Linked DNA regions of Rattus norvegicus. The protein of the gene in region 2 binds, or shares a complex with, the protein of the main gene of each other region. Links are inferred from orthologs where the notes say so. Each region holds a gene or a part of one and is shown on either strand. Other genes may lie near its edges. The genes, in order: Srrm1, Dhx16 and Scnm1.

Region 1 (3,647 bases), on a different chromosome or scaffold from region 2:
CTCAACTGAGACCTATAGCGCAAACACAATCCATGAAGGCAAACACTCAGACCCTCAGCAGTTAAGAGAGTTGGCTGCTTCGGTTTGATCCCCATCCCCCACGTGGTGGCTCACAGTGTCCACCATCCATGTTCTCACTGGATCTGATGCCCTGTCTTCTGGTTTCTTTGTGGGGGCCAGATATAAACATGGTGGGAACAATGCATGCAAGTAAAACACAAATATGCATAAAATTTTAAAGGGGGTGGGGGGAACACCAGGGTCTCATGTAGTCCAGGCTGGTCTCAAATTTACCACACAGCCAAGAGTAACTGGACTTCGCCCTCCTGCCTTCACCTTCTGAAGGACAGCATCGTAGGAGTCTTCCTGTTCGCTCTTCTGGGGACTCTCACTATGTAGCCTTCACTGGCCTCACACTCTACAGGAACTCCCCTGCCCTAGCTTCCCAGTGCTACGGTTATCACAAGTCTGAGAGTACAAAGTATTTGCTTGTTGTCCATACCAGATGAAGACTGCTGGTTCTGTCGTCTATATTGTCGCCTCTGCTGCACAGAATCAGCTGCAGCCATTTTGCTGCCTTTGTCTTCCTCTGAAAGATGGGTATGTTTGGAAAGTGCTTCTTAGTTAGACACAGGAAACGTAGTGCAGTACAACACAACAGGCACTCGGCTACACTACCACAGGTCAGTCTAGGAGACATCAATTCTGCAAACACTCCAGCTAGCTGTCAAGACCCCAAATTATGTCTAAACACTGAAGAAAAAGAATGAGGTTTAGACCAAACAGAGCACAGTTAAAGGCTGGAGCTGGGAATCTCAGAAAGTCTATGTGATGTCACTTTCAGCTCTTCCCTACTGTGGTGTCCTGTACAATGAATCTCCAACCCCAGGGAATAGTCACATATGGAAGGAAAGATAAAAACCATCTCCAGAAAGTCAATACAACTTACCAGACTCAGACAGCTCCACTTTTCTAGGCTTGGGTGCTGGAGAAGGTGACTCTCTTTTCTCAGTGCCTTTATGTTTTGTCACTAAAAAATATAGAAAAAAAACCTCACACAATAAAAAGAACAATGTTTTAATAGTACAAGAATGGGTCAGACTCTTCACATGAAAAATTTAACACAGAAAGCCTCAAAAACTAGTCCTACAGGGCTAGCGAGAACCCCGCACTGACTGCTCACGGCCCACACAGTAAAATCAGCTGGAGGCACACACTTGTAACCCAGGACCCCAAGCGCAGTGGGAGGTGAGGATGCGGAACCAACCTGCAAGTTTGTGGCCCACCTAGCCTGAATACACACAGCAGCAGAGAGTAGGGAGACCCTGCCTCAACAAGGTAGAAGAGAATCATCAACTCTCAAAAACTGTTTTAAAAACAAAAACAATTATGTTGCTCTCTAGGGACTGGAGGCCTTGGCTCAGTGGTCAAGATTGAACTCTGCTCTTGTAAAAGATGAGTGTGGCCCCCACCACCCACACTGGTGGCTCACAAACACAGGTGACTCCTGTTCCAGGGGATCTTGTGCCTCTGGTTTCCAGGGGCACTTGCAACCAACTCCATAGGCCCAACCCCCACTTGTACATTAAAAAAATGTCTTTGCCTTGATGGACACATGCATACCAGACGTGGGAACATGCATATTTGCAAACATGCACAACTCATTCACATAAAATAATGGTAATAACTTAAAAACCTTGGGCAACCAGTTCCAAATCTCCAGCCTTTCCCAAGAGAACTACAGGAGACTCTCGGAAGTCTCCTTCAGTGGAGCAAAGGTGGGGTTGGGATGCTGTTCCAAACCAAACAAAAGGCAAAGGCAAAGGCAAAGGCAAAGGCAAAGGCAAAGGCAAAGGCAAACACACACACACACACACACACACACACACACACACACACACACACGTACGTACGTACGTATGTACGTACGTACATTCAGTGCCAGAGCTTGTCTGGCAGGAAAAAGGAAACCAAGATGGACCAGGGTGCTCTTCCTTCAAGGCCCCCCCCACTGCAGGAGTCTCCATTCTTAATTTTCCTTAATGAACCTACCTACACCTGCTCTACTTTAAAGACTAAAACTCACGCAGGAAAAGTTACTTGGTCTAGGAAAGAGTATTTGGCTATCTAACCAAGAGGCCAAAGGCTCCTTAGCCACACAAAACCTTCACCATACCCAGAAGATGTTAAAGACTAAGAGTGAAGAAGGGGCTCTCCCTAAAGCCCAAGAGAAAGGAAGGGGTTGGGGCTGCCCGTACAGCATAAGACAGCCAGACCAGATTTAAGTTCCCACGAGGGAAATTGGTTTTCTAAAGTAGAATCACTCTGGTGAGAGAATGAACCACACAAGGACCTCATATCAACTGGAAAATTATGGTATGTCTTTTGAAAACTTCCTGGGACATATATACCTGGGTTTTGTTTTGAATCAGGTCTCATTACCTAGTCCTGGTTGGCCTCAAGTTCACAGTGATCCTTCTGCCTCAAACTCCAGAGAACCAGGATTACACACATGAACCACCAAACCCAGATATGTATACTAATAAACACTGTTGCTAAAATAAGATTCTATTCATTCTCATACCCCCTTTTAGAAGAGTTCTTTGGAAGCTTTAAGTAAAATTACATCACCACATTGAGAAACACAGAGACAACTGAGCAAACTGGGACTAGGAACCCAAGACTCTGTGTTCAGGACACTGATCTCACGACCATTCTCTCCTCTTAGGAGCACCCATGGGGCTGTTCAGATGGCTCAGCCATAGTTAAGAGCACCCGGATTTGGTTCCGACCATCCACACAGCAGCTTATAATTAGCTTTAATCCACTTCCAGGGGATGGATCTGGGGTCTTCTGAACTGTGGACACCAGGTACATATGTGGTACTCTCACAGATATGCAGAAAAACCCTCATGAGCGTAAAATAAATCTTGAATACAACCAAGTATATAAAAATATAATCATTACTTTTACCATGGATTGACTTCAAAGGCCACTTGAAAAGGCCCATCAAAGAAACAAACCCTTAAGGCTTAGTTGTTTTATATACTAAATGAATTTTGATAAACTGATTAGAATAGTTATGACTTATTTAATACTATAAATCCTGTCACAGACACCAGGACATAGCCATGAGAACTGGATCTAACACTCTCTGCTAGAGTACTCAAAGAGGAAATCACTATTGTAACTTCCCGGCAAGCCCTGTGTCCCTGAGTTACATTCTTGTACTTGACAACCCCAACTAGTAGTTATTTGGACAAACTACTGAATTGGGCACAGAGTGTTGAACACCTGACATTCTAAAATTCATAAAGTAACAGCGGCTGGAGTGATGCTCAGTGCAGTGGTCAAGAGCATTTGCTGCTCTTACAGAGGATGTAATTTGGTTTGCGGTACCTGCATGAGTAGCTCAGCCACGTTTAACTGCAGCTCCAGAGTGGATGCATCTTCTGGCCTGTAGACACCTGCATAGTGTGTATATATTCCCTACCACAGAACACATTACTGACAGGACTGCCAGTCTAGATTACATAAAGACTTTATAGACACAAATTGAAACCAAACAAAAGCCCCCACACCCCCCACCAAAGTTACTATCTCAAAGGACCAAAGTGGCTTGTTTGGCTGTAAGAAAATGTAGTGGT
Region 2 (3,647 bases):
GCAGGCAGCCTCAATCTCCTCCTGAATATGGAGCAGGATGGCAGGAGACCTGGAGTCAGTCATAGGACCCACACACCAGCCCCATCCTCCCCGAAACACTCCAACCACTTCCCACCACAGTACTCACCTGTCCCGTTAGGAACACCAGTATATCCCCAGGGGGCTGGGTCACATGGATCTGCAGCACAGACACCACACAGGCTTCCAGGTAGTCAGCCTCTGGGGCCTGGGAAGGAGGAAGACACAGGGTCACAGAAGGGCCACTTGCTCAGGCAGGCTCTTGTCCCTGCTCAATGCCCACCCCTCTCTGGGTGTCCATTAGACCCTTCCATTGGGACATCCTCCTAAGCCAGCCCCAGCTCCTCTGCCTCACACGGAAGCCCATCCTCCCGAGGGGCACCTTGGTATAGAAGATGTCAACTGGAAACCTGCGTCCAGGGATTCGGAAGACAGGGGCATCATCGAAGAAGGCAGAAAAACGAGCAGTGTCCAGTGTGGCCGAAGCCACCAGGACCTTGAGCTCAGGTCGGAATCTAGCAACATCTTTGATCAATCCAAAGAGAATGTCTGTGTGCAAGGTCCGCTCATGAGCTTCATCCACCATCACCACACTGGGGAGAAAGTGGGAGATTGGTGAGGGACAAGCGGCAGGGGCTTAGCAGTGCAGGGCTGGATCAAAGAGAGGGATGGAGGGACCTCAGGGGGAAAGGGGACTGAGTGGGAGGAGGCTAAGGAGAAGTCAAATGTTCCAATTACGTAATGTTGGCAGATGGTGAGCATGGTGGGGGGTTCTGTGATCTGCGGCCCATCCGGGCACTGGCCAAGAGAAGCAGTCAGGACGGGGCTAGTAACATGGCTCAGCGGTAAATGTGCTGGCCACCAAGCCTGCCGACCTCAGTTTGATCCCTCGAATGCACATGGTGAAAGTACAGAACTGACTCCTATAAGCTGTCTTCTGATCCCCTACATGTCCACACATACACACACACAAATATATACACACGTGCACACATACACACACACATATACACATACATATATACACACATATGCACATGTGCGCACATACATACATGTACACACATACACACATACATATATATACACAACTGCATACACACACATACACAAATGCACATACATATATATACATACACATACATACACACAAATACATACACATACGTGTACACATACACACACGTACATACATACATACATACAAACACAATTGTATACATACACATATACACATACATACATACATACACACATACATACATATATACACACCATAAGTACACACTCATACATACATACACACACACACATATACACACACACACACAATTCTTTTTCAAATATAAAAGAACAAAGAGGCAGGGAAGAGTCTAGATTCCTTTAACCTAGGATTAGAACAAGTCAGACATCTCTGGATCAGTCAAGAGACAGCTGTTCTCACTGGAAGAAGTGGAACTAAGAACTTAAAGCAAACAGTGCATGGCCTGGTGGCTCTTCTTGTACTCTCAGCAATGTGACCCACGAGACTGAGGCCAGCTAAGGTTAGATAGTAGATTCCGGGCTAGCCTGGGCTACAGAGAAACCCTGTCTCAAAACACTAAGAACAGATAAGGGCCACCTGGACCCATTAGAATAGAGAGAGATTAAAGGAAGCGAGAATCTCTGAGGGGGAGGTGGGGCATCTTGTGCAAAGCATACACACACACACACACACACACACACACACACACGCACACACACACACACACACGCACGCACACGCACGCACGCACACGCACACACACACGCACACACACACATGCACGCACCTGTAACTTGCGAGGTCAGGCTCAGAGAGGAACTCCCGGAGTAGCATTCCATCTGTCATGTAGCGGAGAACAGTTCGCTCTGATGTGCAGTCCTCAAACCGGATGCTGTAGCCCACCTGGTCACAGACAGTCAAGAGGTTGGAATGACCGATGACCAGACCTGAGGTGTGGGGCCATGCCAGCAACGTAAGAAGCTTCCCTCTCACGAATCCCCAAAGACCTCACCTCATTCCCAAGCTTCACCCCCATCTCCCGGGCCACTCGGGCTGCCACACTCATGGCCGCCACTCTCCGGGGCTGGGTGCAAGCAATCTTCATACCCTTCTTGGTGTAACCCTAAGAGGAGAGAAGGAGGGGTTACTCCTCTGTTAGACATGCTGTTGTGAGCCAGGCAGGGCAGGGAAAGGAGAACAGATGGGATGAAAGCCAGAGAAGGACAGACAGACAAGAGAGAAGCCAAGGGCCCCCGGGGATGCTAAGCCAGCCTGCAGACCTTGGCTTATAGGCAGGGCTCTGCTGGACTTGAACTGACCAGGGACAGATTGGCCGAGGCATACCCAGAAGCAATGGGAGACATGCGGTTAAACAGTAGGAAAACACCTTTTACTTTTAGTTCTCTGGCCCCTGCAGAGGGAAAGCAGGGCCGAGGTCGTGCGGGATGGAAGCCCAAGAGGTTCCAATCTATGATGCTCATCTCACTGCTCCCATGGGAGACCTGCACGTTCACAACTCGTACCAGGTATGGATGTGATGGCGGGGAGAACAAAATGGTAGAAAGAGTGGCCTCGTCAGTCTCAAAAGCCTCATGACTTAGCAGAAAGGACAGGAAAGGACATCTTTACCATCACACAAAGGGGGTCTCCCAGGACTGACTCAAGGGCTGAGTGGGCCCTAAGTGACATGCTGTAACGACTGACCTCCTCAAAGAGGTACTGTGGGATCTGTGTGGTCTTCCCTGACCCAGTCTCGCCCTCGATGATGAGGACCTGATGGTTGGCAATGGCGGTCAGGAGCTCCTCTCGGAAGGGGAACACTGGCAGGCTGCGGCGCACGGCCTGGATGGACTCCTTCTGCTGGGCCTGGGCTGACAGGGGCGGGCCTGATGACGGCTCCTGAGGAAAGGACAGAGGTGCTGAGGTCCCCACCACCTTGAGAGGCCCTCCTGTCATTACCCCGGACTTTCTCCCTCTCACCTCGTCGCCCTGGAGCTGAGCGGCACGGACGAACTCGATGGTCTCGTCCTCCTCCAGCACCAGCTGGTACTGGGGTTCCTGGGCAGCAGCGTCTCGGGCCCCAAACTTGAGGGATGCGGCGTCCAGACGGGCCTCCTCCCAGCGCCGCTGCTCCTCGCCCGGGGCCCCTGATTCCTCCTCGACGATGTCGGTGGCTCGAGCGGGCTACGGGGAGAGCAGCCGAGAAAGCTGAAGAAGACCCTCCCCACCACTGCTTCTACCAGTTATGAACAGGAGAGGGAAGGGAGCAGCCACCACACCGGTTCCCTCACCTGTCCTCGAGTCTCCTTGGGCATGTGGTAGCGATTAGTGGCCTCCAGCTTCTCCTGCTCGCCAGCCGCCCGGTACTCCCGAGCCAGGTCCCGCACACGCCGCTTGTACTTGAGCTCCCGGCGCTCATGGCGGCTCAGCTCCACGTCCCCAAACAGGACCTCCTCATCAGCCAGTTCTGCCTCCAGGTCCTCCAGCTTTTCCCGCTCCCGCTTTGCCAGGTATTCCCGACGAGACTTCTTACGGAGCTCAGGGACCTGGGTCAGGAAGGAACAGTCAAATCCTCATCCTACCAGTGCCACAACACTGTTCCCTG
Region 3 (3,747 bases), on a different chromosome or scaffold from region 2:
TACATAAAGAGAGCAGAGCCCTGGTGTGGAAATAAGAACTACAGAAGGCGCCTTAGGAGCTCTACTAAAAGTCAGCTCTTCTTTACTTCTGTAAATTTAGATTTAGTCACTCTCATTATTTTTCCCCCTGCTTGGCTAATAGCATGGGCTTTAGAGTCAGACAGACCTTTCTTCTGACACTCAAGTGATTTGACCTTGATCAAACTGGTTTATCAGTCTTAAGTTGATAGGGGCACAAGGTCTGGTTAATGGCTGAAAGCCCCGCCCCCACTCACCCACCTTCACGGGAGCTGCTCCTCCCACTGGGATAGCTGGGCAGATCTGGCCCAATAGTACTACACAAAGATGTGAAAGCAAAATAAGAAAAAAACAGGCCATAATATAATTTGGGTAATGTCAGAGGTGGTTGCTTAGCGGGCCACCCACTTTCTCCTGGGGACTACCTCAATCCTGGAAGACTCACCGTCACCCCGTATTTGAGTGCTAATCCAGCCAGGGTGTCTCCAGGCTCCAATTGATGCTCCAGGCGTCTTTCCCTCACTGGGGAGCAGGATGATTGTACCAGGCTTCCATAAGAACGAGCACGGCTCCCACGTAGCAGCCCTGACCCTCCGAGGGGAGGCTGTCTAGAGGGCGAAGCCATCTCCTCACTTCCAAGATCTAGGGTCACAACTGAGGAAAGCCCAGCTAAGTGACCAACAGTGACGGCTGAACCCAGAGAATGGATATTCAGAAAATTCTTTTTCTCTTTTCTCTTCAGTCTCCCGACTCTCGAGAGACTACATTCGTCCTCCTCCTCTCGATGCTTCTTACGGAGCTCGGAATTACAGTTCGTATCTTAAGAAGTCTTCCAGGCCGGTTACATTTCTTCTTCCTCAAGCCCCTTACCCATAAATATCTTCCCTGAGTTGTCAGTCGCTGACCCCGTGGACTTTCGACGCCCCCTCCCCAACTCCTCGCAAGCCTGATCTCTGACCTTTGAACCCTAGACACCCTCATTAACACTCTTCCCTCAGTGTGTCCCTACATCCAACAGTCAGGACGCCGGGAGCCCCCACATCCTCTCTGTTCCAAATAAAACCCACCCCAGGTAGGTTGTGGCTGAGGAGGACGAGCCTGAGGACTACAAGTTTGCAATATAGAGTCCACTGAGATCCCCCGAAGCCTCCCTCCACCTCAGGAGGGTCCCACCCTGAAATTCCGGCTCCACGTACAGGATCTTGGGTCTCCAAACACCTGGATCCTTCGAGATGCGAGGACCTGTGTCCAGGTGAGCGGTGTTCTCTCCAAAAAAATTAAAAAATAAAATAGATAACCAAAAGACTTCATTTCCCAAAAGGCACAGCGTCCAGGCAGTATCATAGGAAATACAGATCCCCTCAGGGCGCTGGAGGCGGGTCTTCCGGCTTGCGCGATGCATGCGTGGAAAAGCATCCCCGGAAGTACAGACTCAGAAAGAAACCGGAAGCAGAGAAGGCGATAGTGTACTCTTCCTACGGTGGCCTAAAGGAGCAGCGAAGTAGGCGTAGAATTTATCATATTCTCATAGTCGCGATGTCTTTTAAGAGGGAAGGGGACGACTGGAGTCAGCTCAATGTGCTCAAAGTAAGCCCTAGTGAGAGTCACCTGATCACCTTCAGCCGCCCTGTTGCTTTGGTTTGTTGCTTTGGCGACATCTAGGGGAGGGTGTTAGGGGACCAGAACTGAGAGGTGACCCCATTTTCTACCCTATGATCTGCATGGCCCCGTGCCATTTGACTCCTCTGTATTATTTAATATCCATCCGTTCCTCTCATTCATTTCTTCTATCCTGCTTCCTGCAGAAACGAAGAGTTGGAGACTTGCTAGCTAGTTACATCCCCGAGGATGAGGCGCTGATGCTGCGGGATGGACGGTGAGAGCGAAGAGTGGATCAAGCCTGGGGATTCGGGGATCAGAGGCTCAACAAACTTTTGTTACTAAGGAGTTCAGGAGTATAATAGTATTCTTTGGCTGGAAGTGAAGGGGTGGAGATTGGGAAACCTGGGAGTTGGAGGAGTGCTATGACAGAAGTAGGATCTACTCACCATAGCAAGTACACCGCGACTGCAGGCTGGAACACAAAACACACGCGCACACGCACACACACTTATAATTCACTTTTCTTGTTTCCCTAGCTTTGCTTGTGCCATCTGCCCCCATCGACCAGTACTGGACACCCTGGCCATGCTGACAGCTCACCGTGCAGGCAAGAAGCATCTATCCAGTAAGTTAAGAGAAGTAGGGAGGGCGGGAGATAGAGAATGAACTCTTGACATTTTGGCAAAATCTTTTCATTCTCCCTTGCTTTTCTTCTTCCTAGGTCTGAAGCTTTTCTATGGAAAAAAGCAGTCAGGCAAGGGAACAGAGCAAAATCCACGACCGCAGAACGAACTGAAGACAGAAAGCAAAACTGAGGTGAGGGCATCAGTGTTGTTTAGACGGGGCTATACTGCACGCAACAGGCATGAGGGGCCATTTGCTTCTGACAGCTTTGACTCACTCTCTTCTCTCATTGTCAGGCTCCTTTGCTAACCCAGACTCGAATAATCACCCAGAATGCTCTACACAGAGCTCCCCACTATAACAGCTGCTGCCGGAGGAAGCACAGGTCAGTGGAATGAGAAAGCCAGGAGTGGAAAAGGGTAGAAGCAAATAGATGACTTTAAAGTTATTACTCTGCAAACTGTCTTCTGAGAAATACTAATCTTGTGGAAATTTTTTTTTAATGACAGTTAATGATTTTAAAATAAAACTTTAGGAAATGGAATATTGTAGCATAATCCTACTTAAAAATAGTAACATTAAGGGTTGGTGAGAGAACTCAGTGTTTAGGAACATAAGGGGCTCTTCAGAGGTCCTGAGTTCAATTCTCAGCAACCACACAGTGGCTCACAACCATCCATAAAGGGATCCGATGCCCTCTTCTGGTGTGAGGATGTACATACAGACAAAGCACTCATATTTAAAAATGCATAAATAAATACATTTTTATAAAAAGAGGGGGCTGGAGAGATGGCTTAGTGGTTAAGAACACTGACTGCTCTTCCAGAGGTCCTGAGTTCAAATTCCAGCAACCACATGGTGGCTCACAACCATCTGTAATGAGATCTCATGTCCCCTTCTGGTGTGTCTAAAGACAGCTACAGTAGACTTATATATAATAAATAAATAAATCTTTAAAAAAAAAAAAAACTAGTAACATTAGCAGGGAATGGTGGATGGTAGTACACTTTTTTGTTCCTTTGTTACTGAGACAGGGTCTCTCTTTGTTGCCCTGGCTATCCTGGAACCCTGCTATTTAGACCAGGCTGGCCTAAATTCAGAGATCTGCCTGTCTCTGCTCCTCAAATGTTGGGATTGAAGGTGAGCAGTTCCATGCCTAGCTTTGGAAAGTCTTAATACAAAAACTTAGAACTGTATTTGTCAGGTTCTCTAAAGTCACAGAATGTATAGAATGTCTCTCTATAGTGAGGGAATTTATTGTGGTGACTTACAGTCTACATTCCAACTATCCCAAAAAAGGGTAGCTGTGGATGGGAAGTCCAAGACCCTAGGAGTTGCTCAGTCCCATGAGGCTAGTTGTTTCAGCTGGTCTGCTGTGGACGTAGATTCCAACAGATGTGCTGGCAAGTCAGTGCAAGCAGGTGAAGAAGAGTGAGTCTTCCTACTTCCAACGTCCTTATGTAGACCTCCGACAGAAGGTGTGGCTCAGATGACGGTGTGGAC

Evidence for each region.
Region 1: Dhx16 (region 2) and Srrm1 share a complex: the UniProt entries of both Homo sapiens proteins name them as parts of the minor spliceosome. The link is inferred for Rattus norvegicus from reciprocal best matches to the Homo sapiens genes DHX16 and SRRM1.
Region 3: Dhx16 (region 2) and Scnm1 share a complex: the UniProt entries of both Homo sapiens proteins name them as parts of the minor spliceosome. The link is inferred for Rattus norvegicus from reciprocal best matches to the Homo sapiens genes DHX16 and SCNM1.

What each region holds. Positions count from the first base shown.
Region 1 is NC_086023.1:152,854,819-152,858,465, forward strand, and holds part of Srrm1 (serine/arginine repetitive matrix protein 1), read right to left. Parts: intron 1,031-3,647; coding exon 950-1,030; intron 590-949; coding exon 503-589; intron 1-502. UniProt on the Homo sapiens protein: Part of pre- and post-splicing multiprotein mRNP complexes. As a component of the minor spliceosome, involved in the splicing of U12-type introns in pre-mRNAs. Involved in numerous pre-mRNA processing events.
Region 2 is NC_086038.1:2,873,183-2,876,829, forward strand, and holds part of Dhx16 (pre-mRNA-splicing factor ATP-dependent RNA helicase DHX16), read right to left. Parts: intron 3,589-3,647; coding exon 3,334-3,588; intron 3,227-3,333; coding exon 3,023-3,226; intron 2,942-3,022; coding exon 2,747-2,941; intron 2,638-2,746; exon of another isoform or gene 2,430-2,637; intron 2,166-2,429; coding exon 2,055-2,165; intron 1,946-2,054; coding exon 1,830-1,945; intron 612-1,829; coding exon 401-611; intron 227-400; coding exon 128-226; intron 50-127; coding exon of another isoform or gene 22-49; coding exon 1-21. UniProt on the Homo sapiens protein: Required for pre-mRNA splicing as a component of the spliceosome. Contributes to pre-mRNA splicing after spliceosome formation and prior to the first transesterification reaction.
Region 3 is NC_086020.1:185,391,519-185,395,265, reverse strand, and holds the start of Scnm1 (sodium channel modifier 1), read left to right. Parts: upstream 1-1,443; 5' UTR 1,444-1,554; coding exon 1,555-1,605; intron 1,606-1,657; exon of another isoform or gene 1,658-1,710; intron 1,711-1,823; coding exon 1,824-1,894; intron 1,895-2,156; coding exon 2,157-2,245; intron 2,246-2,341; coding exon 2,342-2,436; intron 2,437-2,540; coding exon 2,541-2,629; intron 2,630-3,747. Other genes in the region: Lysmd1 (lysM and putative peptidoglycan-binding domain-containing protein 1), read right to left, coding at 464-643. UniProt on the Homo sapiens protein: As a component of the minor spliceosome, involved in the splicing of U12-type introns in pre-mRNAs. Plays a role in the regulation of primary cilia length and Hedgehog signaling.